Cricetulus griseus: one gene and its partners. The protein of the gene in region 2 interacts with the protein of the main gene of each other region in a pairwise test. Links are inferred from orthologs where the notes say so. Each region holds a gene or a part of one and is shown on either strand. Other genes may lie near its edges. The genes, in order: Entr1; Ap1m1; Mtf1; Zbtb43; Ap2b1; Tgoln2; keratin, type I cytoskeletal 40.

Region 1 (4,054 bases), on a different chromosome or scaffold from region 2:
GACTAATTTAAAAACCTCCCTTCATGTAGTACATTCAGTGGGACATCCCCGCGGAAACACTTCCAGTGGACCATTTATTCATTCTAGTTCATGCCTGCCTGCCTGCCTGCCTGCCTCTGAGCTCACCACAGTACTTCTCAGCCTGCTACACTAACAGCACAACCAACCAAGGGGAGAGTTCTCCATGGAGAAATTCCATTTTCTTTCTCTCTTTCTCTCTCTCTCTCTCTCTCTCTCTCTCTCTCTCTCTCTCTCTCTCTCTCTCTCTCTCTCTCTCTCTCTCTCTTTCAGGACCCAGGACCTCCCACGTGCTAGGAAAAAAACGTTACTACTGAGCTATATCTCTAGGCCCCTCTATGGAGACATTCTGCTGCATTAAACCCAGGCCATCCAAGAAGTGGATGACTGCAGCTTTTCTCGAGAACACTGCTCAGCTGTCTGTGTTCGGTGTCGCACAGCCCTCACTTACTGCTTCATAACTTATCTGCAGCGTCCGAAGGTGTCTGTCTCCCAGGGACTCTCCATGAGCTGCAAAGTCTGTATTAGGACTCCCAGCTGGAGATGCTGGGGAGACCCTTGAGTCAGGGTCACTCATTGTCCATGGGGGCAAAGACTGAGGACCTGCCAGCTCTGATGCATTGGAAAAAAAGGAAAGGTAGGTGCCACAGGGTGATAAATTCTCTGTGGCCCTAGAGGAATGAGTCTGATCCACAGTGGATGGCAAGTAAGCTCCATTCCATCCATCTTCTTCCTCCTCCTCCTCCAGGTTGCTGGGTCTCGTTGGGTCTTCAAAAAACGGCTGCTGATATTCCAGGCCATACCCCACAGGCTGGGGGGCAGGGCTGCTGTGGTCTACTCCCAGTGGGTGCCTCGAGGTTTCCTAAAAACAGTGGAGATAAACACTGTGACCTGCAAGCCCACACTCAGCCTTCTTTATGCTCAGCTTGCACAAAGAAGGCCCATTTCATCTACCAAAAGGAGCCAAGCAGCTGCTCCACCCACAGTTTCTCCAACAGCAGCCACAGCTGTCCTGCTTTGCTCCCCACACTCAAATGTCTGTCTCCAAAGCTGTAAGTTAGAAGAGATGTCATCAAAGGCAACCATTGACAGCTTCCAGATGTACCTTCGGGTAAATTCGACTGTTGCTCGTGTCTTCTTTTGACAGGCTGAGATTCTTGGTTTTCAGAAACTCTTTGAAGGAAAATGGATTGGCTTCTTCAAGGTCTTCAAGTTTGTCACCTGAAATAGCGGACACCACAAAGACTGTTAAAGGGTCCAACAACATCTTGTATTACCATTATATTTCAACTGTGACTCAGAGAATGCTACAAATAAGAAAGCTGCCCAAAAAGGGTGGAGAACAGGTCTGTTTGGCATACTCTCACCCCTTGCCACCTTAAAAAAAAAAAATACAAAAATTAAAAAAAAAAACAACACACTGTGCCAAAGATCAAGTCCAGGGTCCTGAACACATTTGGACAACTGGTATACCACTGAAGCTCCCCAGTGAATCTTGACTCCACACATTCAGTGTGGGCTAATGGTTACTCCTATAGGTGATTGAAAGCTTCTGGGATGCCACAGTGCCCAGAACTACTCCATGCCATTCCTTCCTCTGACCTTTTCTCCAGGTAACCTAGTTGATCAGCCTCTACCTTCCTCCACTCCTACCACACTCCAGTTACTTGTGTGGATCCCTTCCAGGTGCCAGCCTGAGTAAAGTGGGTTCTTGTGACTTGTGTCTTGCTGACTCTGCAGGGCCCTTTGATGATACTCTCCACCTCCCAGGCACCTCTGACATCTTAGGTTATTTTTGCCCTCACACCCAGTCTCCAATCCTTGGGCTTCTACCTCCACTGATTGTTTGGGCTCCAGGCACACCCATTTAAACCCTGTCATTCTGACAGTCCATGGCCTGGCACCGTGTCTGAGGAAGAGGTCAAGAAGAATCACTGAGCTACTCTACCTCCAAAGCGCGTCTCATGGGCTCCCGGCGGACCTTGCTTAGTATATTTCCCCTTTCCATAGCCAAAATCTGCAAAGAGACACTGTCAGCTCACCGTAATCACAGCAAGCCTTATGACTGCAGCATTTGTCCAGGGAGGTGAAGACCGCAGACCGCCTGACTCCCACTGACTGGCCCTAGTCTGGGACTAGGAGGATGGCTCCTAAAGCTGGGTATAGAGTAAACTACACACCAGGGCGCGCTCACAGCGTAGCTGCCGGTGGAACGCAGACCCACTAAATCCAGCCCCTGACCTCTCCCAATCCAGTGGGCTAAAGAGGTCTCCGAGCTCCACCGGGCACTGACCTTCCTGCCTCGGGGCGGGCAGGCGGGCTGTGGGGAGGGCTCCCCGCGCTTCCCAGCTCCGCACTGCGGCCGGCGCCCCTCTCTCACCTGTGTCTCCTACCGAAGCCAGCACCGGGCTGGGCACATAGCACATAAACGTCGGCCGAAAGCCGAAGAAGTGGGGGTGCAGGTCCCCGCCATGGGGGCGCTCACAGTCTAGCTGGGGGAGACAAGACCGGCGCTCATAGAACGCAGGAGCTGTAAGCGACAACGAGAGCGGCTTCACCGCGGGCCACCTCCGCCCGCGACCCCCGGCCCAGCCCCGGCCGCGCGCCGCTTACCGTCGGGAACCACGAGGCTCCGGGTCCTCGATAGTGGGGGCGCGCCCGGCCGCCGCGTGTAGCCCGACATCGCCGCGCCCTAACCCGGCCGTGACCCCATGGCCCACCGCGCCACTGCCAGCTTATGCCCGATCCGGCACGGCCGGCCGGAAGCCAGCGCCGAACGCCACGGGGCGGGGTCGGAAGCGGAAGTGACCGCAGAAGCGCGGCGGCGCGATGGCGACGGCGGTGTGGGCGGCCGCGCGGTTGCTTCGGGGGTCTGCGGTTCGGTGCGCGCGGCCCAGGTAAACTGAGGCGCGTCCTAGCGCGAAGAAATGGGGACTGGGTGGGGAGGGAGGAGCGGACCAGGCACCCTAAGGAACTGGAAGAGGAGAATGGGCCCTGGAGCAGAGCGCAGGCGCGTTGGGCCTGGAGAACGAGCCGGGGACTGGAAGCTAGTTCGAGGGTTTGGTGGAGTCAGCCTGCTGGGGCCTTCCAGACCCAAGGCGGAACTCTTGAGGAACAGGGCTGGCCCAGGGCTTCATATGTGGGAAATGCTTTCTCACACACCCTGCTGTCCAGAGTGGGCAGTGAAGACCCAAAGACCTGGAGCCGGAGAGATGGCTCAGCAGTTAAACGCATTGACTGCTTCTTCTGGGTTTGGTTACCAGCACCCACATGGTGGCTCACAGCATTCATAACTCCACTTCCAGGGGATCCAACACTCTTCTGACCTCCTTGGACACCAGGCATGCACGTGATGGCAAGCTCTCAAACACATAAAATAAGAACAAATATGTTTCTGTTAAAAAGGAACCAAAGGCTTCAGGTAACTTGCCTGAAAGCCTATGGCAGAACCTGGATGTCCATCGCTGTTACACATTCTGTGAGGCCATGGAGTAAATTCTACTGAAGACTTCCCTGTTGACTTCTCATGAACACACATGTGGTGTACATGAGTGGTCACCACTGACTCATGTAACTGGCTGGTTGTTCTGTAGGTTTGGACCTCCTGCACACAGACGGTTCAGCAGTGGTGCCACGTACCCCAACATCCCCCTCTCTTCTCCCTTACCCGGAGTGCCCAAACCTGTCTTTGCTACAGTTGATGGACAGGAAAAGTTTGAAACCAAAGTTACCACGCTGGACAATGGGCTTCGTGTGGCATCTCAAAATAAGTTTGGACAATTCTGTACCGTAGGAAGTAAGTTCTGTTGTCATGCCTAAGGTAGGCTTTCCATTTTGACAGCTGTAATTAGTATGTCCATCATAGACTACTCACAGGGAAAACTTGTTAGTTTTGAAAACTTATCCAAGATTCGAACGATGGCCATATTTGGAGATATTATATAAGGTATGCCTCTGTCCCCATTTTACTTTTCTGTAATTCTAGAAGTTTCCATTATGTATGGGATAGGTAGGATTCCATAAACATTGACTTTTT
Region 2 (4,025 bases):
GCATGGGTACCACCTGCCTCAGAACCTGTCACTTCAGAAAACATTCTGTCTCTGTTGCTTTCAGCTGGGACAGTGTAGCAAAAGTGGTTCCTTTCTTTCCTAAGCGCTTAGGCCTTGTAGGGGACATAGCACCCACTGGGTAAACTTCTGAGTCTGATGTTGGGCCGAGGGACTGCCCTTTGCCTGCTCTGATTCCTGTTTTACAGATAGAGACTACAGTGCCCAGAGAGGCAGACTTAGACTACACAGGTCCTTGTGAGTAACAGGGGGCAGCCTGGGGTTTTGCCTTCAGTGCCCAGAAGGACAGCATCAAGAAGAAGGAGGGGAAACCAGCACCCCAGACCTAGGGTCACCAGGGCCACACTGCCAAGCAGGGAAGCTGAGGGGCAGCTGTGGGAGAATAGAGAGCAGCCAAGCATTCTTGGAGGACCTCCTGCTTGCCAAAGGTGGCCACAGTAACCAGCAAGTCAGCCTGGCACAGTGTCATAAGGTTGTCTTGATTTTGGAATGAGGCAGGGAGCTCTACAGCCTCTCTGAGGAACTTTCTAGAGGCAGGTCTGCTTACATACCATCATGGGACCTCCTTCCTGGAACTGCAGTGCCCTGGGGCCTCCTCCCATTGGTGCCCTAAAGTGCCACCACTAGTCTGTGGGCTGCCTTATACCACGCATGACAACTTGGATACCTGTCACCTCCTCAGAACCATCTCAGGTGCCCAGCTCTGCCTGGAAGTCTTTTGTAATTTTCTCTGACTGCCAAAGAGAAGGCAAGCAACCTAACTGTTAGGCCTGTGGAGCCTAAATTCCATGCTCTTTGTGCCTTGTGCAGGGCCAGGCCTGAATCACACCTACAATAACCCAGATAAGATTCTTTGGACCAGCCGGGAAGGCAAAGCTCAGAGATGCCATGGGAGGTATCTATGGCCACACACCTCAGCTGTAAAGATGGGCTGAACCTACACGTGAGTCTAGTTCTACAGCTTGAGTCCAGGATGGATCACCTGCTAAGCACCACTGAGGTGTTTGCTAAAGGAACAGGCAAGCCATGACAGACAGCCCATGTACCTCTAGGCCAGGGCAAAAGGCAGAGCATGTGCCATAAGGCCTAGAGAACACTGTGCCTACTCAGGTTCCCAGAAGGCTGTGGAGGAAGCCCAGATTGGGGACTCACCAGCTGTTGACCTTGGGTGGCATCCAAGGCAGGCACACATTCTAGGGACTGAGGAAGAGGCTGGAGCTAGGGCACACCTCCTCTTCACTTCTGGACACCTCTAGCTCTTCCATGTGGGCTGGACACCAGTGTTCTTTGTTTACTGTGGCTGGACCTGTTCTGGTAGCTTCCAAATATAAAAGGCTGGCCACCTGCCTTCTACCTTGATGGATTGAGGGATAGTGATAGCCCATTTCTGAAGGCTGATCATATATTCCAGTAAGAGGTTTTTGCATTGGGCTTACTGTGGTTCCCTGGCAGAGCGCTCATTGAACAGACTTGAGACACTTGGGGTTATTGCCTCTGCATCACAAAACCACAAATTAGCCATATCCAGATACCATGTAAAAGAGCCATGTACATGCCAGACGGTGGTGGTGTACACCTTTAATTCCAGCACGCCTGAGGCAGAGGCAGGCCTATCTGAGGTCAAGGCCAGTCTGGTCTACAGAGTGTGCTCAGCGACGCCTGAGCTACACAGAGAAACCTTGTCTTATAAAACCAAGGGGTGCTTCTGGGAAATACAGACAGGCAGATCCATGTAGTTTAAAGGCCAGGCAGCCTCGCTGAATCAGTCCAGCGACTGAGTGTGATAACAAGAGCCCATGTAAGGGTAGCAGGGTCTCCTTCCTCCACACACATGTGCAAACCCACACAAACACACACAGATGAAGTTTTCTTTCTCAGACACCCCTGGGGAAGATGCCTGGACCCTGATTCCTTCCAGGGCCTTCATGTCTCAGTCAGGAAAGCTTTCTGTCCCCCAGCTGGGGCTGCTAGTCCGTTATGAACACACGGTCCCAACAGTCATTCATGTATCTGTGCTTTTCCATGTGCTGAGAGCCATGACAGATTCTGCCCACCCGTGGGGCCCAGGGCTTAGCACCCTGCCTGGCTTCTCTGAAAACATAAGCTGAAAGCAAGGATGCTTGAGGTGGGACTTCCAGATGGCTACTTCCCAGTCATCAGTGTGACTCTAGGCAAGCAAGTCTGTTTCCCCTCAGCAAGACGGCATTCCTATCACTCGCCTCTCTGAACCCAATGTCACAGGAAGCGCAGCTGCTCTCGGGAGAAAGCGGAGCAAGGGGCCGACCTGAGGACACAGTCCCCGCCACGCCTCCGGCCAAGGGTCGCGCGATCCCGGGGCGCGGGTCCTCAGCTTCCGGACCCGGCGGGAGAGGGGCAAAGCCGACGGTCACCTAGCAACCACAGCCCACCCAGTAAGCTAAGGAGGGGGCGGGACTCTCAAAGACCACCGGCCGTTTCCTAGCAACAGGACAGGGTCCGCAAGTGAGGCTGCCCCGCCTGCCCAACGCCCTGGCAGGGTTGGACGGCCAGTTACCTAGCAACAGGGTGGGTCCCGGCAGGGCGAGGCCCCGCTGTTGCCTGGCAACGCGGAGGGTGGAGAGCCCTTCAATACCTTGCCTTTCAGGTCCAGTACGTAGACGGCGCTGGCGGACATGGCGTCTTTGGAAGGCCTCGGCAATAGCCGAGGGCGGCGGCAACGGCAGGAACTGCCGGCGTTCAGCAAGGCCCGGCGCGCCCCGCGACACTTCCCTTCCACTTCCGGTCCATGGAGCAGCGCGCGGACCGTTATGTCCGGTCTGAGGGGCAAGCCGCGAGTGCGCACATGCGCAGCAACATAGGTGCAGGCGCAGTACGAACTTTGTGGCAGTATTTTTCATCCACTGCTGAAGAGGGCCGGAAGTAAGTCCCGGAGGGCGGACCCTCCCTAGTGGGCGTGGCCTGAGGGGCCTGGGCGGGGCCATCGGGCTGTGGCTGGCTGACTGGAGGTGGAAGCCGGGTGAACGCTTTCAAACCCGCTGCTGTGGGTTTGAAAGCGGAACCGATTTGGGTCAGCCTTGCATTCGACAGCAGTCTAGTAAACCAATATCCCGTCACCAGCTGTGATTCGCTGTCAGGTGGCGATTAAAGGAAGTCAGTCTCTGAATGGCAATCAAAACTTATCAGTAATCGCCTCTGTCAACTTATCAGTGGCTGCCCCACCCCAGTTTGCCCAGTGAACCCAGGGGACTAGACTAGCACGTGTGTTATTTAGACATCGTGCCTAGTGCAAAGTGTGGCTGATTTTCTTTTAATTCTGTCATTCTTTTTTAAGATTTTTAAAAATTTATTATGTATACAGTGTTCTGCCTGCTGGCCAGAAGAGGGTACCAGATCTTATTACAGATGGTTGTGAGCCACCATGTAGTTGCTGGGGGTTGAACTCAGGACTGCTCTGAACCTCCGAGCCATCTCTCCAGCCCTAATTCTGTCATTCTTAACCGTCCTGGGAGACCAGCCAACACCTCAGCACCCGCCCCTTTGTTTTTCTTTCTTTCTTGTAGTTGCTTTGTGTGTGTTCCAGTACACACAGGGAGGTCAGTTTTCTCCTTTTCACTATGTGGGTCCCAGAGATCAGGTTATCAGTTTCCGCAGCAGGCGTCTTTACTTGCAGCCCCCCCCCCATTCCTTTTTCAGTTTTTTGGGCAGGAGAAGTATTCACTCCTAATGGCCGAGACCTCTCTCTGTTCCCAGCAGGCACATATGATGCTTCACAACTGCCTATAACTCCAGTTCCAGGTGATCTGATGCCTCTGTGGACAGCTGCACTCATGCACACACACCTGAATATGGACTTTTTACAAAGTACTAAGTTTTAGTGAGGCATAGTAGTGTGTGCCTTCAATCCCAGCACTTGGAAGCAGAGGCAGGCAGATCTGTGTGTTCCAGGTCAGCCAGTAAGATGCAGTTTAAAAAATTTTAATTTATCCTTTGTCAGTTTCATAATGTATACATTTTATATTTTGAACATA
Region 3 (3,500 bases), on a different chromosome or scaffold from region 2:
CACTATACCTGGTTTATGCAGTGGTAAAGCTTAAGACCAGGGCATCATGAGTGCTACGTGAGCTATACTCTTAGTCCCCACATACTTTCTCGATAATCAAAGCCAAGGACAATCCTCACCTCCTCAGGATTACTAACACATTTATCACATGATTCCTTTAAGGCATCTCTCATTTCCAATCTTATTTCCTCTCTTCGTACATTTGGGGAAAGCATGTTTATCTGAGACAGAGTCTCACTATGTAGCCCTGGCTGGTTTGGAACTCTCAGAGATCTCCTGCCTCTACGTCCCCATGCTGAGAACAAAGGTGTGTACCACCATGGCAGATGTGTGCATATTTTTTTTTTTTTTATATTTTCTCAAAAGCAGGGTCTGTGTAGTTCTTTACATTGTTTTAGTTGTTATATAGCAACAACTTAAAACATACATATGTATGTTTTCTTACATATCTAAACATCTTACTTATTTAAATAGAAAGTTTCTTTAAAGCCTTTTGGTTTTTAGTCACGTATAATCATCACTGTATCTACCTAGGTCTCCTCTAATATTCACAACAAAACTGTTTTAATCATCACAAAAATAAACGCACATATCTGTATAGAAATAAAAGTCCTCCTAGCAACCTGGTAGGGGTGATTAAATATCTGCAGAGTAACCAATTAGACTGTAACCTCCTGTTCGTAATGGGGCTGAGACTCAGGAATGTATCTGTAATTTAAAATCTCAATTCCATTTAATTGGAGCTAGCTGCTCCTGGAGAATTTTCAACTGCCTGCAAGTGTGCAAAGAAGGACCAGTGACCTGAAAATGGAAGGGTGGCACTGGGCGTTGGTGGCACACACCTTTAATCCCAGCACTCGGGAGGCAGAGGCAGGTGGATCTCTGTGAGTTCCAGGCCAGCCTGGTCTCCAGAGGGAATGCCAGGATAGGCTCCAAAGCTACACAGAGAAATCCTGTCTCAAAAAAACAAACAAAAAAAAAAAGAAAGAAAGAAAGAAAGAAAGAAAGAAAGAAAGAACTTTAAGCAATATCCCGTGTCAGAATTCAAGAACATTGTTTATGGGAAATCTTTAGCAATACTTAAAATTCAGTTATGGGGGTCCTTACAAACTGATTACCTTATTAAAATGTCATATAATCTTCCAAGGCTGCTTGTGAACACTTACTGAGTGTCTGGAGCCACGCCGTGTGTTAAATGCCATCCGAGGAAAAGAGGATGGGTACAAGCCGCCTCAGGGTTACAGACCTATCTACTGTGGATGATGCAGCTAGGGAGATGGCTCGGTGGTCAAGAACATTTGCTGCCTCATAGGGGGCCCAAATTTAGCCCTCATAGAGGGCTCCATCTCCAGGGGATCTGATACCAGCTTCTGGCCTCTACGAATATCAGCACACATATGACATGTGCTCACACAGATACATACTTAAAACTAAAATTTTAAATGTGGATTTGGGGGACTGTGGAGATGACTTGGCAGTTAAGAGCACTGCCTGCTCTTCCAGAGGTCCTGAGTTCAGTTCCCAGCAACCACATGGTGGCTCACAGCTGTCTGTAATAGGATCCAGTGTCCTCTTCTGGAAATATATATACAGAGCACTCGTATATAAAATATAAATAAATTTAAAATTTTTTTAAAAACATGGATTTTGAAATATCTACACAAAAGCATGTGGCTCTATACGTATACAAACATGAGATATTAAAAGCAACAGCAACTAAGTAACAGAGTCGATCATGCAGACCACTGAGCTAAGCCTCCTACCCTCACTTTCCCTTGTGAGCATGCTCAGAAACAATTTTAAGTCTCCTTTCTCAGGTAGGTCTCCCTTTTCCAAGCTCAAGCCACTTTGGCTGATAGCTCAGACACTGTCTACAACTTGTGGCTCTTCCCCACTCAACTAAGGATGCTTTGTTTTGTTTAGGGGAAAGGGGTGTTGACACAGGGTCTCACTCTGTAGCCCAGGTTACCTCCCCAGCCCTTGATTAAGAATCTCAGTACTTCCCTAGTGCAAAGAAAAGTATCTACCATATAAGTCAGCTTCAACAAACACCCTTTAAAGAATACAGAAAAAAAATGAGGCATAACAGCCAGCTATCACTCAGGGAAAAAGTCCACTTGTACTCCTCCAACCTGCAGCAGGCGGTCACTGCTACCCTGTGGGAAGCTAACACCACCAAAAGAAATGGGTAAGGCAGCTTTCTTCCTACTTTGAAAACTTCCTAGAGTCTATCAAGATACCCAGCTAAGACCTGGTCAGTGACAAACAGAAAACAGCAAGACCTACCGAAATGGCTTTTCTCCTGTATGGGTTCGAATGTGCTTCCGCAGGTCACTGAGTGTGGTGAAGTACTTGCTGCAGCCTTGAGATTCACAGTTAAACGTTTTCCCTGTGTGAAGCCTCTGATGTGCTTTCAACCTGCAAAATGTCCCAGAGAAATGCGTCATGCAGAATGTACCACCGAGCCTCCCAGTGCCAGCCGAACACACAGTAGGACCAAGTGCACCAGAATGCGCTACCAAAGTACACTGGCATCTGACCTCACCCAGAGAGAAATGCAGAGATGAAAGTAGCATAGTGGCGTGAGCATTAATCAGAGACAGATCCCTCCGGGTTCAAGTCCTGGCCCTGACCTCTTGGCCAGGTACCTTACACAACTGCTCTGTACTTCGGTTTACTTAGTAGCTGTTCTGGGGGCCAGCACTTAGAATTGTGCCTTGCACAGTGTACACATCAGTGTTAGCCAGCATTATTTCTCCCACCAAGTATTAACCAGGCCCAAACCTGCTTGGCTTCTAGGACCAAACAAGATCAGGCACTTTCAGAATGGTATGGTCTGTTATTTTATGCCTAATATTGAAGATTTATGTAAGTCTCCTGACACAAACATGGAAAAACAGACATCAAGTGGGGCAACTTCCCATCTCTCAGGACAGAAGAAAGTTATTTCAAAGGCTATGTGCCAACTTAGCCTTGTGCCAGTCAGAAGACTACGCCAACTACTAAAAATCCCAAGGCCACGATGTCACTCCTTGAGATGCAAGCCTACACACAGATGTGCCAACACATCTCCTCAGCCCATGGTACACCTGTTTTTAAGTAGTAGGCTCTGATAATGCATTTTAAGTAGCTGAGTGCAGCTATGCTCTCCAAAGTGTCAAAAGCTGTCATATGCAAGGAGAAGAGTTCTGTGGTCCCAAGCTCAGAGTCAGGAGGCTGGCAGAGCCATGGAGAGGCTGACCTGTACAGTGTGTTGAACGCCTTCTCACAGCCCTGCACATCACACTCAAATGGCTTCTCCTTTGTGTGCACTCGCACATGGATCCTGAGGCTGTAGGAGGTGAGGAAGGCCTTGCCACAGCCCTCCTGATTACAGACGAAGGTGTACTCTCCTCGGTGAGTCTTCTGGTGGGTACGCAGGTTGCCTGCTGTGCTGTAGGTGCGGGGGCACCCCTCAAAGGTGCACTGGTACCGCTTGACCTGACAGGGGACATGGGATA
Region 4 (3,500 bases), on a different chromosome or scaffold from region 2:
AAAACAAAACAAAACAAAATAACCCCTACACCTACACTTATAATAAAGTTTTAAATACAAAGTGCTTTTATATACCAAGATTGATACAGTGTTCATAAATAGATGCCTGTTTTGCAATCTTGATCACAAGCATTTACTGGCTAGTCCCTATTTTCTTTCCCCTTCCCAAACAAAGGTCAAAGGTGAACTCTTGGTGTCAGAAGTCTTATGATCAGAAGCCCTTGCCAGAAATGTCAGAGAAAGACAAACTTTAAAAACAAAATTTCACCCCAAATCCAAGAAAGAGAATTTTTATTTTAAGGAAATAAAAAGTTTCTACTTAGCAGTAACAGACTGTGTGTGGAAAGTGACATAGGAGCGACACCCTGTCCCATTGTCCGGCTAGAGCTAACAATGTGACACAGCCTAGAGTCATCTGAGAAGGGAGTCTAAAATCAGGGACTGCTCAAATCAGACTGGCCTGTGAGCATGTCTGTGGCTGATAGTCTTGACTGTGGATATTCAAGTTCCTGCTGTGATTTCCCCCAGAATGGACTGTGACACGGTAGTGTAAGCTGAATAAACCAAACTCCCTGAGCTACTGTTGGTCAGAATATGTTATCCCAGGGAAGAAAAGCAGACAGACACCCATCCCAGGAAGAGCCTCAGGCCTGTCATGTGCTTAAAGCCTTTCTGAATACACAAGACTTCTTTCCAACCTAAAACATACACTCCAGGGAGACCAGGTCTTGAAGGGTGGGTGTAAACTACTGGGACTTGTAAATGTGTGCTGTGCAGCTTTCTCTGTGACTGAGGAACAGGAATCTGTAGATGACGTTGCTTAATGCAGGACTCCTTTCACACTTGGAACGCATATTCCAGGTCTCATAAGGAGCTGACAGTATTGCTCAGTGTCCCTCTAAAACACCTACACCAGTGTATTTTTGAGACCTTTCTCAAGTATAGCCTTTTGTTTTTATAAGTTACTGCCTCTGATGAGTATGGGAGTGTCCCACTCACAGGTAACTCTTAGTCATGCATTCTGGCTAGGTTCCATGAGCTGTGGTCCCTGGCTGACCCTTGTTGGGAAGCACCATGATCTAAGGCAGTAGGGCCACAGGACACTGCCAGTACTGTGATAAGTCACTGCAGGTTGGATATCTAGTTCAGACTGTTACCATTAAATGGAGGGAAGCTTAGGGTAACAAATCGACTAGAAACACCTACCTCTGGCACCCACAGACTTTAAAGGAGACACAATGGTTCAAACCCAATTAAAACTAAACACAAAACCGTGCTTTGTCAAGAGTCTGAAGCAGCCAGGCGGTGGTGGCGCACACTTTTAATCCCAGCACTTGGGAAGCAGAGGCAGGTAGATCTCTGTGAGTTCGAGGCCAGCCTCCAAAGCTACAGAGAAACCCTGTCTCGAAAAACAAAACAAAACAAAACAAAAAGAAGTCTGAAGCACTATAACAGGAGCCAAGTTTTGGACTCATGTCTATTGAACATTGCCAGTTTCAGCTAGAACTTTAGAAAACATGAAACTAGACATGAAAGAGCTCAGTTCACAACTCAGCCCACGAGTCAGGCTGCTGCAGCCTTGAGGGGAGTAGCATCCAGTGATGCGCTAACAAAGCAAAGCCCCAGAACCTCTGCATCCACCAGGGGAAAATAAAATGCAACAGGACTTCAGGGCACTGTGTGATAGACAACTGCTACCACCTGAGTGAACTGGTGGGTTAGTCTGCCACCAAGTCCACCGCGGCAGTCACTGCTGGCTGGAAGGGCTATCTTGCCAGTTGGGCACTGGGTGAACTTATCCCCATCATCCATTCTAGGCCAGGACCAGAACATACAAATTTGAGGAATTAAATTTTTTAATTGGCCTACTTAGAGCTGGTCTTTCAGAAATATCTTCTTTTTTTTTTTTCTTTTTAAGCTTCTCTCATAATAGCAAGTGGCACGCATCATCTGTGCCCAGATTTGCATTAATTACCATAGTTTATTTTTGTGCATGCCACTCAAGGGCCAGACCCTATTTTTAGTTAGCCTCAGTTGTAGTCTGCTCAGCCTTTGCAGCTTCATAGGACTTGGTACAAGAAGTCACATGCCTGTGGAAACTGTCCCTCCACATAAATCTCTTTGCACAGATATTACACTCATAGGGCTTGATGCCTGTATGAATTTTCATGTGGCCCACGAGATGGTGCTTCATTTTGAATTTCTTACCGCAGACCCCACAGCCATAAGGGCGAAGACCGAGGTGCATGCTCATGTGTCGATCTCGCTGACTCTTGTGTGTGAAACTTTTCCCACACTGACAAGGATACAGCTTGTCAGTGGCGGAGAACCCTAAGTGGGACGCCTCTTCTTTTATCCCCGTCACCATTTCAATATTCTCACTGTAGCCTGCTGCGAGGGCAGCCTCCTGTCTGTGCCCAATTAGATTCCCATCCAACCTTTCTCCAGAGAATTCTTCCATGGAGGAGCCATAGAAGTCCACCTGCTCGTCATAGTTGCTCTCCTCTGCTTGCTCATCAAACTCTGCTTCTACTTTCTTCTCCACAATTTGGAAGTCCTCTTCCACTCCTGAAGGCTGGACCAAGTGTTCTGTCTGCATGGTGTTAATGGACTCAGTGACTTGGTGCTCGTCGTAGGCTGCATGCACATCCATGCCCTCACACGTCTGTTCCAGGCGCTCAGGCTTCACATGGATCCAGCGTTTGTGAGCCATTATGCTGGGCTTGCTGTACAGAGGCCGGGTGTAGTGGAACTCCGCGCTGTCACTGGCCCCCTCCTCCCCATCCTGGCTCGCCATCTCAGTGCTCAGCCGGTCATGCTCTGTGGATGAGTTACTGGGCAAGTACTCATGCTCAGTGAGCTGAGATGACAGCTCATCTTTGGTGCTCTCCTCTTCATTCTCACCATCCCTCAGCTCCTGTGCCTTGGGGAAATCAGTGTGCCCCCCGGAACCCAGCTCAAAGCTCTCTACCAGGCCATTATAGTTACTGCTACTGGGAGACTGGTGGTCATTGCCATGATTTAGCTTCTGGCAAAGAACTGTGGGGTTTCCCTCTAGAACCTCAGTGCATTTGTCCACCACATGCCACATCTGGAGGAAGCTGGCTGCTGTTAAGTAACTAACAATTTCTGGAGCAGGCATCACAAGGCGTCCTGTGTAGCTAGATAGGAGAATGTTCTCAAATACTCTTGGGTTCATCACATCAGGCAACACAATTCTCCTACTGTTTTTCAGGAGTACTTGGTCACAAAAGTAGGGTGAACTGGCAGCAAGAACAGCTTTGTGTGCCCGGAAAATGTGGCCTTGGACAACAATGGAGACGTCACATAACTGTCCTTGTTGGCGCTGCTGGTTTAGTTTCTGCAGAATGGTGCTGGAAAAATCTGGAAACTCTACTCGAAAAGAGTTCGTTCCAGGCTCCATTTCATCACCAATCTTGTTTAGTGCTGCAAGAGAAAGAAAAGTTAGTGCTAACTCCATCCTCAAAGCAGCCCAGCAT
Region 5 (4,109 bases), on a different chromosome or scaffold from region 2:
AAGGAGGAATGGGTTTGGACTAGATCTAAACACATTATATGCATATATGAACATTAAATATTTAATTAAAAATGAGAAGAGGTGACAGTGACAGAACCTTAATGTAACTCTGACTTTCACCTCCCAATATATACCTATTTTTAAATAAAACACCACCAGCACTTGCCAGATAGACACTGCCAGATTTTCCAAATATATGATGTGAAAACTATGCCTATATTAGAAACCACAGAAAAATAGCCAGGATAGAGCTGGAGAAAAATACAACTTGCCTAGTTCAAAACTCAAAATCCTACTAGAATAAACTTTTTATTTTTCAGGAAATCCCTAGAAATAAGCAAGCCACAATGGAATTTGAACTCATCCGACTTCATACAACATCAAACCTAAAAAGTCACTGATTTATGGGGTGGCCTAGGAACTCTGTTAAAGAACAAAGCAGCCACCAGGCAAAGCACATAATACCTGCATTTGTCCTAGCTCACAGTGTGATGCCACGTCTTTCACAGGCCATCCTGTACAAGGAAGGTTATAGATCTAGATTAACATAACCTAGTTTCTGCCAAATATAGGTTGTCCAAGTCCCTCCCTCCTCCCCTTCCCCCAATTCCCCAAAAGAGAAATGCAACACTGAAATAAGATTAGTAGGCTGAGTTGAATAAGGTCAGAAAAAAGTTAATAAGGTGGTCTTAATTTCAAATGGTTCTCTGGGAAGTGGCAACTAACACTATCGTCGGACATGCCACTATGCCCTTCTTTACACATAAAGTCAGTAACTAGACAAAGTTCTGCGAACTTCGAGCAGAAGAGTCATTCCAGCAACCTTCACTTACAAGGTTGAGACAGGTGTAAAGATCCTATCTGGTCAAATGTTCAATAGCACAAGGCCAACAGTAGCTTCAGATTGTTACCTTATCAGAAATAAAATATTTAAAAGCCAAATTCACCCCCAGCTTCTTTCAATAACTATAAGATAATTCACTATTATAGTATTATACATAAAGAAAGAAGCCCAACAATCTCACACCCAATTGTTAAGAAATGCCAAGGCATTTTAGGAAACTTAAGCCAAGGAGGAAAGAAAAAGGGGAATGGTGTCTTCTCCGAATATTCGTTGTCTAATTTGGGTCAAACATGTGCCTTAAGATATAATAGTTACTGGGCGGTGGTGGCCCAGAACTCAGGAGGCAGAGGCAGGCGGATCTCTCTGAGTTTGAGGCCAGCCTGGTCTACAAGAGGGAGTTCCAGGGCAGCCTCCAAAGCCACAGAGAAAACCTGCCTCGAAAAAAAAAAAAAAAAAAAAAAAGATATAATAGTTGAAAATTACGATCTTTTACAGAAAGGAAGTAAGGGAACTTCTTTAAGCCTTAATTCCTCAAAATATTTGCTTTATATTAATTAAGTTTACCATCTAACTTTAGGGGGACTTTTTGCAGAACGCGCTCCCCTTTATTTCTCGGGGGGGGGGGGGTTGCCCTGTAAGACACCTGAGATCAGTTCTCATTTCACATCTCACTTAGTCATCCCTGGGATGCATTACCCTCTGCTGCACCTCCTTCACTGGCTGCTTTCTATTATTACTTTGTAAGTGCACCCTAAGGCTAAGCAGAACCACACTAGGAAAGCAATGAATAATTTAAACTGGTCCTCACTGAGAGCGCTCTCTCAGTCAACTTGCCTTTCTGAGCTTATTGTGTGTTCTTTGTCTTTTAAACCACAATGGCTGCAGAAGTGTTTGGCAATTTAAAAACACTCTCCCTTCTGAAAGTTAAAAAAAAGAAAAATTCAACGAAGCATCCAGGACACATTCACGCTGCTTCGTAATAAAACAAATAGCCAGAGCCTTATAAGAGCTTTCCCCCAGAGGGCTGCTCAGAAAGCTAATACATGCTGTGGATTCAAAGAATAAAGAAATAGCAGGAAATTCCAGGTTTTTTTCACTTCTAGTAGAATTTACAGCCTTGCTCAAACTACACTGCTCCTGATAACCCCAGGGAAGAAAGAGGGGGAGAAAAAAACAACCCCGGGCTAAGATTTGCTTTCATTGGCTTCCCCCTCTCACGCAAGAGGTCAATTTTGCAGGTTTCTCCTTTCTTCCTCGAAGTACATTTGGTCCCCTTTTCTCTTTACCCACTCCCCCGGGTCAAGACCCTGGAGATCTGGTCAGTTTTCACCAAGCAGGGAGAGAAGACTTTAAACCCCAAATACGGGTGACATGAGAGGTCTCAATGGCCAAACCGTCGGGGGGGGGAATCCTTTCTCCCTCTGCTTGCTGGACACGTCCAGTGCAGGCTTCTCAATGAACAGTCGCCAAACGGGAAAGCTGGGTGGTTCTCCCTCGGCCTCCAGGCTCTAGCGGCCACACCCCTGGCCTCAGTCCTTTCCGAGCCGGTCTTGGGAACCCGCTGGGCTCCGAAGCCCCCAACTACCCGCTGCTACACCCGAGCTCAGCCCTATCCCGCCACGGCCCCCACGGAGGAGGCACTTTTTCCAAGCTTCCCCCTCACAACGGTCACACCCGAGGACTCCCTCCATCCTCAACCGTCACGCTCCTCGGATCTCCTTTCCTCCCGCGCCTAAGACCCGGCTTGGGGTTGCCCTCCCTCACAACCACCCCCAGTCACTCAGGGACACACCCCAAAGCCAGCCGCCTTGAACTCACCGGAGGCAAGGGCGGGGTGGCGGCGGTAGCGGGAGAGCACAGCCCGGGTGGTGGTGTAATGGTTTCCTGCCCGTCACGATTCTTTCTAGATCTAAGCCACTGCGCAAAACCCAATCTGCCAGGGACAAAGATGGTGGGCCGGAAGCTTTGGCGTAAGAGAGAATCTCGTCGCGTGACGTCATCCGGGTGCGCGGGAGACCCAAACAACCAGGCTGTGTCTCTGTTGCCTCGGCAACGGAAAGGTTTCCCTTTCTCTGGGTCAGGACAGTGCCTATAGACCAAGGGACCCACCCGCAGTGGCTTTCCCAAAGGATATGTTAAATAAGTGGATATTCTCGGGACTTATTTCCGTGAACAAGAATTTTGTAAAACCTGTGTGAGATACCTTATTTTCTGAAACACAAACTTCAGCTAATTTGCCTGTCAGATTCAGAAGACCGTACAGGTGATAGAAATCAGGACTGATCCACATACATGAGCAGTGGAACTAGGAGACAGCGACTCAATGAGGCTAAGAAGCATTCAGATCTGAGTTCGAATCCCTACATTGGATATGACTAGGAAGACTTAATCAATAAGTGCCCCATCTCGCGCCACCCGGCACACACTCAATCTTGTCGAGCCACCTAACACACACTCTTAATCTTGTTGGGGCTTAAGTCGTACAAGGTAGCTTCAGAAACAGAAGAAAAAAGTATCAGGCGATGAAGTTCAGGCTAGTCTACAACAGGAGCCCCTCTTGCTTGTGCCTCTAGCGTGCTGGGACTCACCTGTTTTGAACTTTTGTGTCTATACATTAGAGGTTCTTCTGCCCAGCTGCTTTCTGGCTTTTCTCACTCCACCATTGAACAAGTATTTATTAGGGGCTACTATCTCTCAGGAATTGATATAGAGATCCAACTTTTTTTTTTCCTAACAACCCTAGTTGTCCTGGAGCAGGCTGGCCTGGAACTCACAGAGATCCACCAGCCTCTGCCTCATGGCAAGACTCGGAAGGAAAAGGCCCGCAGATCTCTGAGTTCGAAGCAAGCTTGGTCTACAGAGTGAGTTCCAGAACAACCAGGGCTACACAGAAAATGCCTGTCTCAACCAAAAAATGAAAAAAAGAAAAACAAAAATAGAGGGCAACTTCAACCAATTACAAAATTGCAATCAGGTTAGTTTGTTAGGGTGCACTGTGAAGATGAAGTGTGGTTCAAGAAAGAAGGCACTCCAAGATGATATTTTAAGGCCTATGTGGGAGCAGGAAGGTCCAGCCTCTCAGGTTAGTTTGTTAGGGTGCACTGTGAAGATGAAGTGTGGTTCAAGAAAGAAGGTACTCCAAGATGATATTTTAAGGCCTATGTGGGAGCAGGAAGGTCCAGCCTCTCTGATAGACTGAACCCCAAACAGCAGTACAAAGGTGTATTTATTGAAAGTTATACAAAGTACTTCCTGGTACAAAGAT
Region 6 (4,210 bases), on a different chromosome or scaffold from region 2:
GAAGCAAATTCATTTCCTTCTGGTTCTCGAGCAGTGGTTCGTTCCTACCTCAGGGAGAAAGTGCCTTCCTTTCTCCCTCCCCGTCTTTCCTCTGCTTCCTTTCCAGTCTACCTCGGAAGCATATTGGTACTGCTTTCCAATCGCATCTCCAGTTTGACCACCTCCCATCATGCTCTCTGGGCCTGTGCACAACTTGGGACTGTTGCAAGAGTCTCCTGATCCCTTTCCCCTACTACCCAAGTCAATTCTTTGTGATACCAGCCAAGTAATGGCCAAACATTCTCCACTCTGATTACAACTTGCCCCTACTTAAACCTCTTCAGTGTCCAAGAGCTCTGTGTGAGCAGACCTTTTTTCCTCCCCTACCTAGTAATGTGGACACCAGGTCAGGTTTAATCATTTGCCACTACCCTCCCCACCCACCCACACCCTCACTAAGCCAATATCCTTAAATGTTAGTCAAACATTTATCTTAAAGCAGGCAGACAGAATTTTCTTTTAGAAAAAGTTTCCTTTACCAGTTCACTTCCTCTAGCCAAGGCAGAGTCAACATTCTAAAGATTTTTTTTTTTTTTTTTTTTTTTGAGTTTTGGAGACGGAACCCAGGGCTTCTCACATGTCAGGCAAGCAGCACTTTACCACTGAGCTATCGTCCAGCTCCTGAAATAATCTGGTAGACTTCTCATCAGATTTTTATTCTTTCTTCAGTAATGTAAGAGGGGAGAGGAAAAGGATGGGGAGAAGTGGTGAGGAGCCTGTTAAAGGGATTTTTATTCAAATAACAGAAAAGGCCCTTGTTTCTAAAACTGTAGTTGTGTTATGTACTAGTTCTTGAAATTTTGAAAAATTTCAGCCATCCAGGACTACATATCATATCATATCATATCATATATCATATCTCACATCCAGGCCTCTCACAGAGTGTTACTTTCTTATGGCTATAGTCCTTTTTGGCTGGAGTGGGCCCAGTTTACTTGTCAACCAGAGTTAGCTGACATATTTTCTATTGCATAAAAACTTACATTCTCGTCAACTCCCAGATCACTGGTTTCTCGGTCTGGCTCTGTTCCAACCTCCTTCTCTATCATTATCCTTGTCACACAACAAGCTTGCTCTTTAGGCTTACCCACAACACCAGGTTCACACTGCATGTGCTGCTCACTCTGCCAGGAATCCTCATCCCTCTCTCCTTTCATTAGTCCCCAGAAGTATCTACAACCTTCTGTCCTCAGTCCCATGGTTCATTCCTCAGCTGATACACACTTTTCATATTCTGCTTGGCAGTTCTTGGAATGCTTTCAATCAGTTATTTGTCTGGAGATCATTGCAAACTACTTGACAAATGTAATTTAAAGGTTAACTTTGGCTTACAGTTCCCAGAAATACACAGAGCATCATGGAATGGAAATCATGGCTGTAAGAGCAGGAGGTGGCTGGTCACACTGAATTTGTAGTCAGGAAGCAGAGAGGTATGAATATTCTATGTTGTGCTCAGCTTGGTTTCCATTTTATTCAGTTCAAGACTCGAGCCCATGAGATACTAATGTCCACACACAGGGTGGGTCTTACCACCTCAGTTAACCTTACCTAGATAATCCCTTACAGGAGTGCCCAGAGACTTCTTTCCATGGTGATTCTAAAGCCCATCGAGTTGACAATAAAAATGAACCATTACAGTAAACATGAATAAACATCTATGTGGTAGTTATGTACTTCACCAGATTGCTTACTTTATGAAATTAAAGTTGTATTTATTTATGTACTTTTGCTTTTTTTTTTTTTTTGAGACAGGGTTTCTCTGTGCAACAGCCCTGCATGTTCTGGAACTCACTCTGTAGAACAGGCTGGCCTCAAACACACAAGAGATCCGCCTGACTCTGCCTCCTGAGTGTTGGGATTAAAGGCGTGCACCACCACAACTGGCTATTTATGCACTTGAGTTTCACTTTGTTCTTCAGGCTGGCCTCCAAAATCTGGCAGTTCAAAAGATCCTTTGCCTCTGAGGCTGGAGAGATGGCTCAGAGTTTAAGAGCCCTGGCTGCTCTTCCAGAGGACCCAGGTTCAATCTCTAGCACACACACACAGCAGCTCACAATCATCTCTCAATTCCAGTTCCAAAGGATCCAATTCTCTCTTCTGGCTTCCTTGGGCCCCAAACAGGCACGTGATAAATAGGTATAAATGGAGACAAAACACACATGCACATAAAATAATTTCATAATTTTATTTAAAATAGCTTCTGTCTTAAACCTCCCCAGTTTTGAGGACCATTTAACGTGGCATGGTGGCACGCAACTGTAATCTCGGCAGGGGAAGGAAGACTGATGCTAACTCAAGGTCAACTGCTTTTTGGAGTGAGCTCCAGGTCTGCTATAAGCTGCCTGTCTCAAAACAACAAAAACAAAACGAACATAGTTTTTGGGATTTTTGGTTTGAGCTAGGACCTGCTATTTGTTAAATCATTGTTTACAAAATACCTAAACTGGCAAATGTTCATAAATTATTTCAAGCAACCTGTTTAAACAACCCAGCCCTATCACAGCTGATACAAGAAACAAATGCAAATAATAATCAATAGATGAACAAACAGCAAGAATTTAAAAAATGTATGTTTTGCTTACATGTATGTCTGTACACCATATTCGTACTATGTCTGTGGAGGCCAAAAGAGGGTGTCAAATCTCCTGACACTGGAATTACAGACCTTTGTTAGCTATCTTGTGAGCGCTGGGAATGGAACTCAGGTCCTTCGGAAGAGCAGTTAGTGTTCTTAACCACTAATCCATCATTTCTCTATCCCCTAAAATAGTATTTTCTTGTTTGTTTTTTTAAGACAGGGTTCCTCTATGTAGACTTGGCTAGCTTGAAACTAGACCAGGCTGGTCTCGAACTCAAAGATCCTCCTGCCTCTGCCTCCTGAGTGCTGGAATTGAAGGCATGTACCGCACTGCTGGGCTTCCCTAAAATAAATTTTTATAAGTATTACCTTTTTTTCTGCTTTCTTGTTTGAATTATTAAGAATATATTGCTGCCAGGCAGTGTTGATACACGTCTTCAAAGGACACCGCGCATAGGTGGTACACACAAAATAAATCTTTGATACCTTATGTCTTAAATAAATAAATAGCCCCAGAAGGGGGCGTGGCGAGACGCATGCAATCCTAAGCACTCGGGAGGCACGAGCTTGACGCTAGCCCGTCCGCAGAGTAATGCAGTATCAAATACAAACAAATTCAGAAAAAGGGGAAAAAAAATTCCGTGGTAAATTCAGAGGGCCCTAGATACCGTCAAGAAAGAGATTCCGACCAGGAACGAAAGTGATGAAGTGTTTGTTTCTAGACGGGAAAGCCCCGAGCAGAGTACGTTTTGGTGTGGAGTGAGAAAAGCACCACCAGCAACGGAGATGTCAGAGGAACCGGCGGACGACGCGGCGAAGCGGCTCCCGGCCCCGCGACCCCATATCATGAGCCTCGAGGGGCGACGCAGCGCCAGCCGCGCAGAACAACTCCCAGAGCACGAGGACACGTGCACAGGGAAGAGGCGGTTGAGCTCGTCAGGGTGCTGAGAAAAAGAGGAAGAGCGGGTCCTCACGTGCGCTGCACACTACCGGAATACTCAGCCGCTGACAGCCCGCACCCGTTAGCCCCGCCCCCGGGGCGGGGCTGCGCCGGAAGAGGAACAGCCCGCCGGAAAGGGAGTGGCCACAGGCTCGAAGTCCCTCGCGCCGCTCTCACGTCAGCAGAAGAGGGCGGAAGTGCAGACTACAGGATGCGGTTCCTAGTTGCGTTGCTCCTAAGTGTCGCAGTGGCGAGTAAGACCCCCCAGCCCCCGCCCCATCCCACCCTCTCCCTCAGGTTCTCTCGTCTTCACCTTGGCGGGTTACCACCGGAGCTGGCGTCCTCCTTTCCTGGCCCGACCCTCGGGCCATCTCCACCCTTCTCTCATTCGGCCATCACCGCTGGCATCTTCCAGCGCTGAGAAGCCAAGCCCCCTTCTCTTCTCCCAGCTTTTTCTTCCGAGGGCTTAACTGCTTTTTCTATTTCAGGTGTTACGCCGCATGAATCTAACCCACTCATCACCTCAGGTAACGATAATTCTCCGATTCAGTCTTCTAAAGAAAAACTCTCCAACCAGAGCCCCATGTCTCCTGAGAAGGAAGTGGAGTCTAAGCCGGGAGAGCCCGGCGGGCAGACGGATCAGAAGCAGCAGC
Region 7 (4,238 bases), on a different chromosome or scaffold from region 2:
AACAGGGAAGAGTTAGACAATAAATTTATAAAATTCTTGAGAAATGCTAAGGTATCTGTAATTGTCAGCTGTTACTACCATCAAAATATGCAAAGAATACATTTTTGTTTTACTTTATTATGTAACTCTGCATTTCATTCTTAAGCTTATAATAGAAACAAGATTATAAATGTACAATATCTAAAAAATATTACTCCTAATATTGCATGACTATTTATTCCTTTTTTGGAAGTGGATACAGCTCTATTTTCTTGTTGTACAGTAGAGCTACAGAAATAGCCATTAGTGGAGTTAATTCTTCACCCAAGCAATGGCAGGAGGGAGAGTGGCCTCACCCTGGCACTTGGGGCGGGTGATGTTATGCAACAATACACACTGTATGTCACATCTACCTTGAGAGACACTGGGATGCTCAAACCACACAGTGGGCCTGCCTCTGGTTTTGTTCCAGCTTAGTCAGTGTCTGCCCTGGTTCAGTTTATACCCATGAAATCTCTCGGTAGAACTCTCCCTATAGTCCTTGGCACAGTGGCCACTTCACTTACCTCTTCGTGGCTTTTCTTAAGGCAAAGGAGATCACTTTTCAGGGACTCCACGTGGGCCTCCAGATCTGACTTGCACAGGGTCAGTTCACCCAGGATCCCACGAAGGCCACCGATGTCATTCTCCACCAGCTGGCGAAGAGACAGTTCACTCTCATACCTTTCACAGCAAGAGAAAGAAAAGGGAGTGTGTTACTTGGCTAAACACTGACCAAAGTGCCGGGGTACAAGGATGAGTGACATGTGGCCTCCAGGGAGACACATGTCACAATTCCCCGGGTATCCCAAATGATGGTGAATTCAAGTTTCAAACATTCTAAATTAAAAAAAAAAGATCTCATGCAGAGAATTCTCTATCACTGGAGGCCATTATTATTTTCAAATTAAATTTAAGATTTAGAATGCAATTTGTATACATAAAATACAATGTGGTTTAAAAAATAAATACAATTTGACTTACTTTGACCTAAAATCATCAGCAGCCAGTTTGCAGTTGTCCACCTGTACGGCAAGTCTAGAATTCTCTGCCTTCGTGCACAGTATCTAAGAGGCAAGTCATTATGTAATCAACAGCTCTTTGGAAGAAACCCACATTTCTGTTTTAACAGTCTGCCATTCATTAGCTTAACAAAATTAGCATAACATAATTTTCAGCCTATAACTATACCATGGAGAAAAAAGGAGACATGCAGTGCCAATTTAGAAACAAAATACAGACATAAAAATAGGTTCTCTTTCTAAAAAAAGATTTTATCTTTTTTCCAATTGTGTGTGAGAGTGTGTATGTATTTGATCTCTCTCTCTCTCTCTCTCTCTCTCTCTCTCTCTCTCTCTCTCTCTCTCTGACTCTGTGTGTGTGTGTGTGTAGACTTGTTCTTTGCCTTAGGATGCCAGAAGAGAGTGTCAGGTCCTCGGGAGATGAACTTATAGGTGGTTGTGAACTGCCATATATGGGTATTGGGAACTGAACTCAGGTTGCTCATGAGCGCTACAGTGCTGCTATCCACTGCTGAGTCATTTCTGCATCTCAAGGTTTCCTTTATAAGTGACACAAGGCAGGACATTTGGCAGTCATCATTGACAGCTGAGCTTTGTTAGTTTTCTCCACTGCTAATATTTATTAGAGTTGCATCTCTGTCTGTGGTCATAGAAATTCATCAATGAAAAAAGAAAGAAGGCTTTGTCAGTAGAGCATTTGCAATACAAGTAGGAGGACCCAGGTTCAAACCGTAGAACTCATGTATAGAAAGCTAAGTATAGCAGTGTGTGCCTGTTACCCCTGCAAGGGGAGACAGAGACAGCAGTATCCCTGGGACTCTCTGGCCAGCCACCCAGTGAGTCAAATCAGTGAGCCCCAGGTCCCTTGAGAGACTCTGTCTCAAAACACAAGGCGGGGAGTGGAAGACGCTTGCCATTGACCTCAGGCCTCATTGACAGCATGTATTCCCTCTCTACATGCACACGAAAGGAAAATGATTACCAGGTGAACTAAAAGAGATGGCATTTGATGTCTGTTTGATAAGGAATATAAATAAGTAATGATACATGCAGAACAGATTTTAGATATCATAATTCAGATTCCCCCTCTCTGTAGATGACATAGTCTACACACAGACATGACATTTCTATGGTCAATAGTGCTGATACTGAGACAGATTTCTTGCCATCTATGGCCCTCTTTTCCTGGCAGCATACCAGCTCTGGGAATCCCTCCTCCCTGGTTTTACATCCATAAAACAACCCGCGCCACTGTAAATATAAGAGAATTCTGAAACAGGAAACAGAGAACATTAGGGAATGAGACACACAACCTTTTGCTGGAGTTCTTCAATGGTGTCGAAGTAACGCTGATAATCTGGGCACACCAATGGGGCATCGGGCTCGCATTGCTCTCGGATCCTGCATTCGAGCTCCGCATTGTTCTCCTCCAGGCTTCTCACCCTTTCCAGGTAGCTGGCCAGTCTGTCATTCAGGAACTGCATCGTCTCCTTCTCATTGCTGTTGAACGCCCCTTCCTCGCACCATGCACAGCTCCCCACCAGGCACGGACTGTTACAACCGCCAGCGAAGTAGCAGGGTGAGAGGCGACCGGCTGAGAGGTGAGCCCTGCAGAGGAAGCTCGGGGTCTGACATCTGGATGTGGCACAGGTACTGGGCAGGCAAGTTGTATCGGTGGGACAGGGTGAGGCAGCCGCACAGTCCGGAGCCTCTGCACAGGGCTCAGAGGAGCAGCACCCAGGGGAGCCATCAGAAGCCATCTTCTGTGAAGGAATGAACAGACCGGATGCTGTAGTGCCGAGGTCTTGTCTCCAAACATCTCCTTCCCCCCCTGAGACCTTTATATCACCCTTCAAATGGGTGTTTACAGGCCACACCGATGTTTCCTCTAGCACCGCGGGTGCTAGTTTTCCTACAAACATCTCATTAGTGTTGCTTATTTACCGAGGAAGTTTTATGCCTCGTAAAAGGAGGATAAGTTCAGGTTACTAAATCAGGACGACTGTCATTTCCACGTGTTGCTTGGATAAAATCCTTATTTTAGCGAATAGCCATAGGAAACATTATCCCGTTGAAAGAATAAGGAACCCAAGAGAAAATCTGAGCCATTGGTAATCATAGGTAGAGCTCATTAGAGATACAGAAAGTAATATTTCCATAGGTTTTGATTTTGAAAATCGATTGCTCTTGTCTACTTTAAAAGTGGACACCACAGCTCATTAAATTGCATGTATTTGTTTGTGCTACCAGCCACCACAATGATAGTTAGCAATCGTGAAGGGCATGCATGCCTGCGTGTGTGCGTGCGTGCGTGCGTGCGTGCGTGTGGTGTGTGTGTGTGTGTGTGTGTGTGTGTGTGTGTGTCCTTGAAGCCTGTGCTTACATGGTAAAGAGAAAGGTGTATATACTGAGTGTAAAGCACGTGAGATCATTTTATACAACAATGAGAATAAGTTGTGTCCTGTGAGCCAAGACAGAAAGTGGTTGTCAAGATCTGAATTGTGGTCTTTGGTTATCTCAAACATTCTATCGCTAGCCAAACAGTGATCATGACCACCCCTGCTTAGTTTTTGAGATTGGATATGCTCAGAGTGGATGGTCATACACATAAGCTTTGCCTTCTCGTATTTCCATGTTAGATTCCTTATGCTACTTTTAAAAAGCTGTTATCATTCATTTATTTTGGTGTTGAGGCTCAGACATAAGGTATTGTGTTATTCTTTTGTTTAAAAAGAAGAAAAGAGAAATATTGAGACAGACATATTGACTTAAGACTATAAGTTTATTATAAGGCCCGGTAGAATGGAATGGGGAGACTAAGAGGGACAGGGTAATGGCTGACCGCCATGGCCGGTCGCCATAGAGAGACAGCGGGGAAACAGAGAGAGGGGACAGAGAGCAGGAACAGGGGGAGAGAGAGAGAGCGCGCGAGCGTAAAGGGGCAGAGAGAGAGAGAGAGAAAGGTGCAGGGGCCTATCTTTTAAAGGGGTCCTCTGCACCTGCGTGCAGACTTCTTTCCCATGGAACCTTGGGCTGACCAGGGTATTGCCTGAGTGGATTCCACCAGGTAACAGGGGCAGGCCAGCATAATGCCTGAACCTTTCATATTGTTCATACTACATATATGATATACCTCAAACTTCAACCCCAGTACCTATATTTGCAAGGACAGTGGAGATATAAGTTGTGGTGAAGGTT

The links.
Region 1: the proteins of Ap1m1 (region 2) and Entr1 interact in binary tests that used the Homo sapiens proteins (3 or more experiments, as listed by UniProt). The two-hybrid records come from large-scale screens. The link is inferred for Cricetulus griseus from reciprocal best matches to the Homo sapiens genes AP1M1 and ENTR1.
Region 3: the proteins of Ap1m1 (region 2) and Mtf1 interact in binary tests that used the Homo sapiens proteins (3 or more experiments, as listed by UniProt). The two-hybrid records come from large-scale screens. The link is inferred for Cricetulus griseus from reciprocal best matches to the Homo sapiens genes AP1M1 and MTF1.
Region 4: the proteins of Ap1m1 (region 2) and Zbtb43 interact in binary tests that used the Homo sapiens proteins (3 or more experiments, as listed by UniProt). The two-hybrid records come from large-scale screens. The link is inferred for Cricetulus griseus from reciprocal best matches to the Homo sapiens genes AP1M1 and ZBTB43.
Region 5: the proteins of Ap1m1 (region 2) and Ap2b1 interact in binary tests that used the Homo sapiens proteins (3 or more experiments, as listed by UniProt). The link is inferred for Cricetulus griseus from reciprocal best matches to the Homo sapiens genes AP1M1 and AP2B1.
Region 6: the proteins of Ap1m1 (region 2) and Tgoln2 interact in a two-hybrid assay, tested with the Homo sapiens proteins (2 studies listed by BioGRID). The link is inferred for Cricetulus griseus from reciprocal best matches to the Homo sapiens genes AP1M1 and TGOLN2.
Region 7: the proteins of Ap1m1 (region 2) and keratin, type I cytoskeletal 40 interact in binary tests that used the Homo sapiens proteins (3 or more experiments, as listed by UniProt). The two-hybrid records come from large-scale screens. The link is inferred for Cricetulus griseus from reciprocal best matches to the Homo sapiens genes AP1M1 and KRT40.

Annotation. Positions count from the first base shown.
Region 1 is NC_048599.1:137,777,235-137,781,288, forward strand, and holds the start of Entr1 (endosome-associated-trafficking regulator 1), read right to left. Parts: upstream 2,801-4,054; 5' UTR 2,702-2,800; coding exon 2,632-2,701; intron 2,549-2,631; coding exon 2,399-2,548; intron 2,036-2,398; coding exon 1,967-2,035; intron 1,240-1,966; coding exon 1,124-1,239; intron 881-1,123; coding exon 470-880; intron 1-469. Other genes in the region: Pmpca (mitochondrial-processing peptidase subunit alpha), read left to right, coding at 2,848-2,915, 3,612-3,814. UniProt on the Homo sapiens protein: Endosome-associated protein that plays a role in membrane receptor sorting, cytokinesis and ciliogenesis. Involved in the endosome-to-plasma membrane trafficking and recycling of SNX27-retromer-dependent cargo proteins, such as GLUT1.
Region 2 is NW_023276806.1:246,994,534-246,998,558, reverse strand, and holds the start of Ap1m1 (AP-1 complex subunit mu-1), read right to left. Parts: upstream 2,801-4,025; 5' UTR 2,672-2,800; coding exon 2,630-2,671; intron 1-2,629. UniProt on the Homo sapiens protein: Subunit of clathrin-associated adaptor protein complex 1 that plays a role in protein sorting in the trans-Golgi network (TGN) and endosomes.
Region 3 is NC_048595.1:28,233,005-28,236,504, forward strand, and holds part of Mtf1 (metal regulatory transcription factor 1), read right to left. Parts: intron 3,481-3,500; coding exon 3,242-3,480; intron 2,419-3,241; coding exon 2,287-2,418; intron 1-2,286. UniProt on the Homo sapiens protein: Zinc-dependent transcriptional regulator of cellular adaption to conditions of exposure to heavy metals. Binds to metal responsive elements (MRE) in promoters and activates the transcription of metallothionein genes like metallothionein-2/MT2A.
Region 4 is NC_048599.1:145,169,799-145,173,298, forward strand, and holds part of Zbtb43 (zinc finger and BTB domain-containing protein 43), read right to left. Parts: intron 3,448-3,500; 5' UTR 3,425-3,447; coding exon 2,021-3,424; 3' UTR 1-2,020. UniProt on the Homo sapiens protein: May be involved in transcriptional regulation.
Region 5 is NC_048600.1:96,535,848-96,539,956, reverse strand, and holds the start of Ap2b1 (AP-2 complex subunit beta), read right to left. Parts: upstream 2,801-4,109; 5' UTR 2,663-2,800; intron 516-2,662; exon of another isoform or gene 466-515; intron 1-465. UniProt on the Homo sapiens protein: Component of the adaptor protein complex 2 (AP-2). Adaptor protein complexes function in protein transport via transport vesicles in different membrane traffic pathways.
Region 6 is NC_048601.1:64,348,727-64,352,936, reverse strand, and holds the start of Tgoln2 (trans-Golgi network integral membrane protein 2), read left to right. Parts: upstream 1-1,410; coding exon 1,411-1,416; intron 1,417-3,339; coding exon 3,340-3,811; intron 3,812-4,045; coding exon 4,046-4,210. UniProt on the Homo sapiens protein: May be involved in regulating membrane traffic to and from trans-Golgi network.
Region 7 is NC_048600.1:113,048,877-113,053,114, reverse strand, and holds the start of keratin, type I cytoskeletal 40, read right to left. Parts: upstream 2,801-4,238; coding exon 2,354-2,800; intron 1,086-2,353; coding exon 1,003-1,085; intron 703-1,002; coding exon 546-702; intron 1-545. UniProt on the Homo sapiens protein: May play a role in late hair differentiation.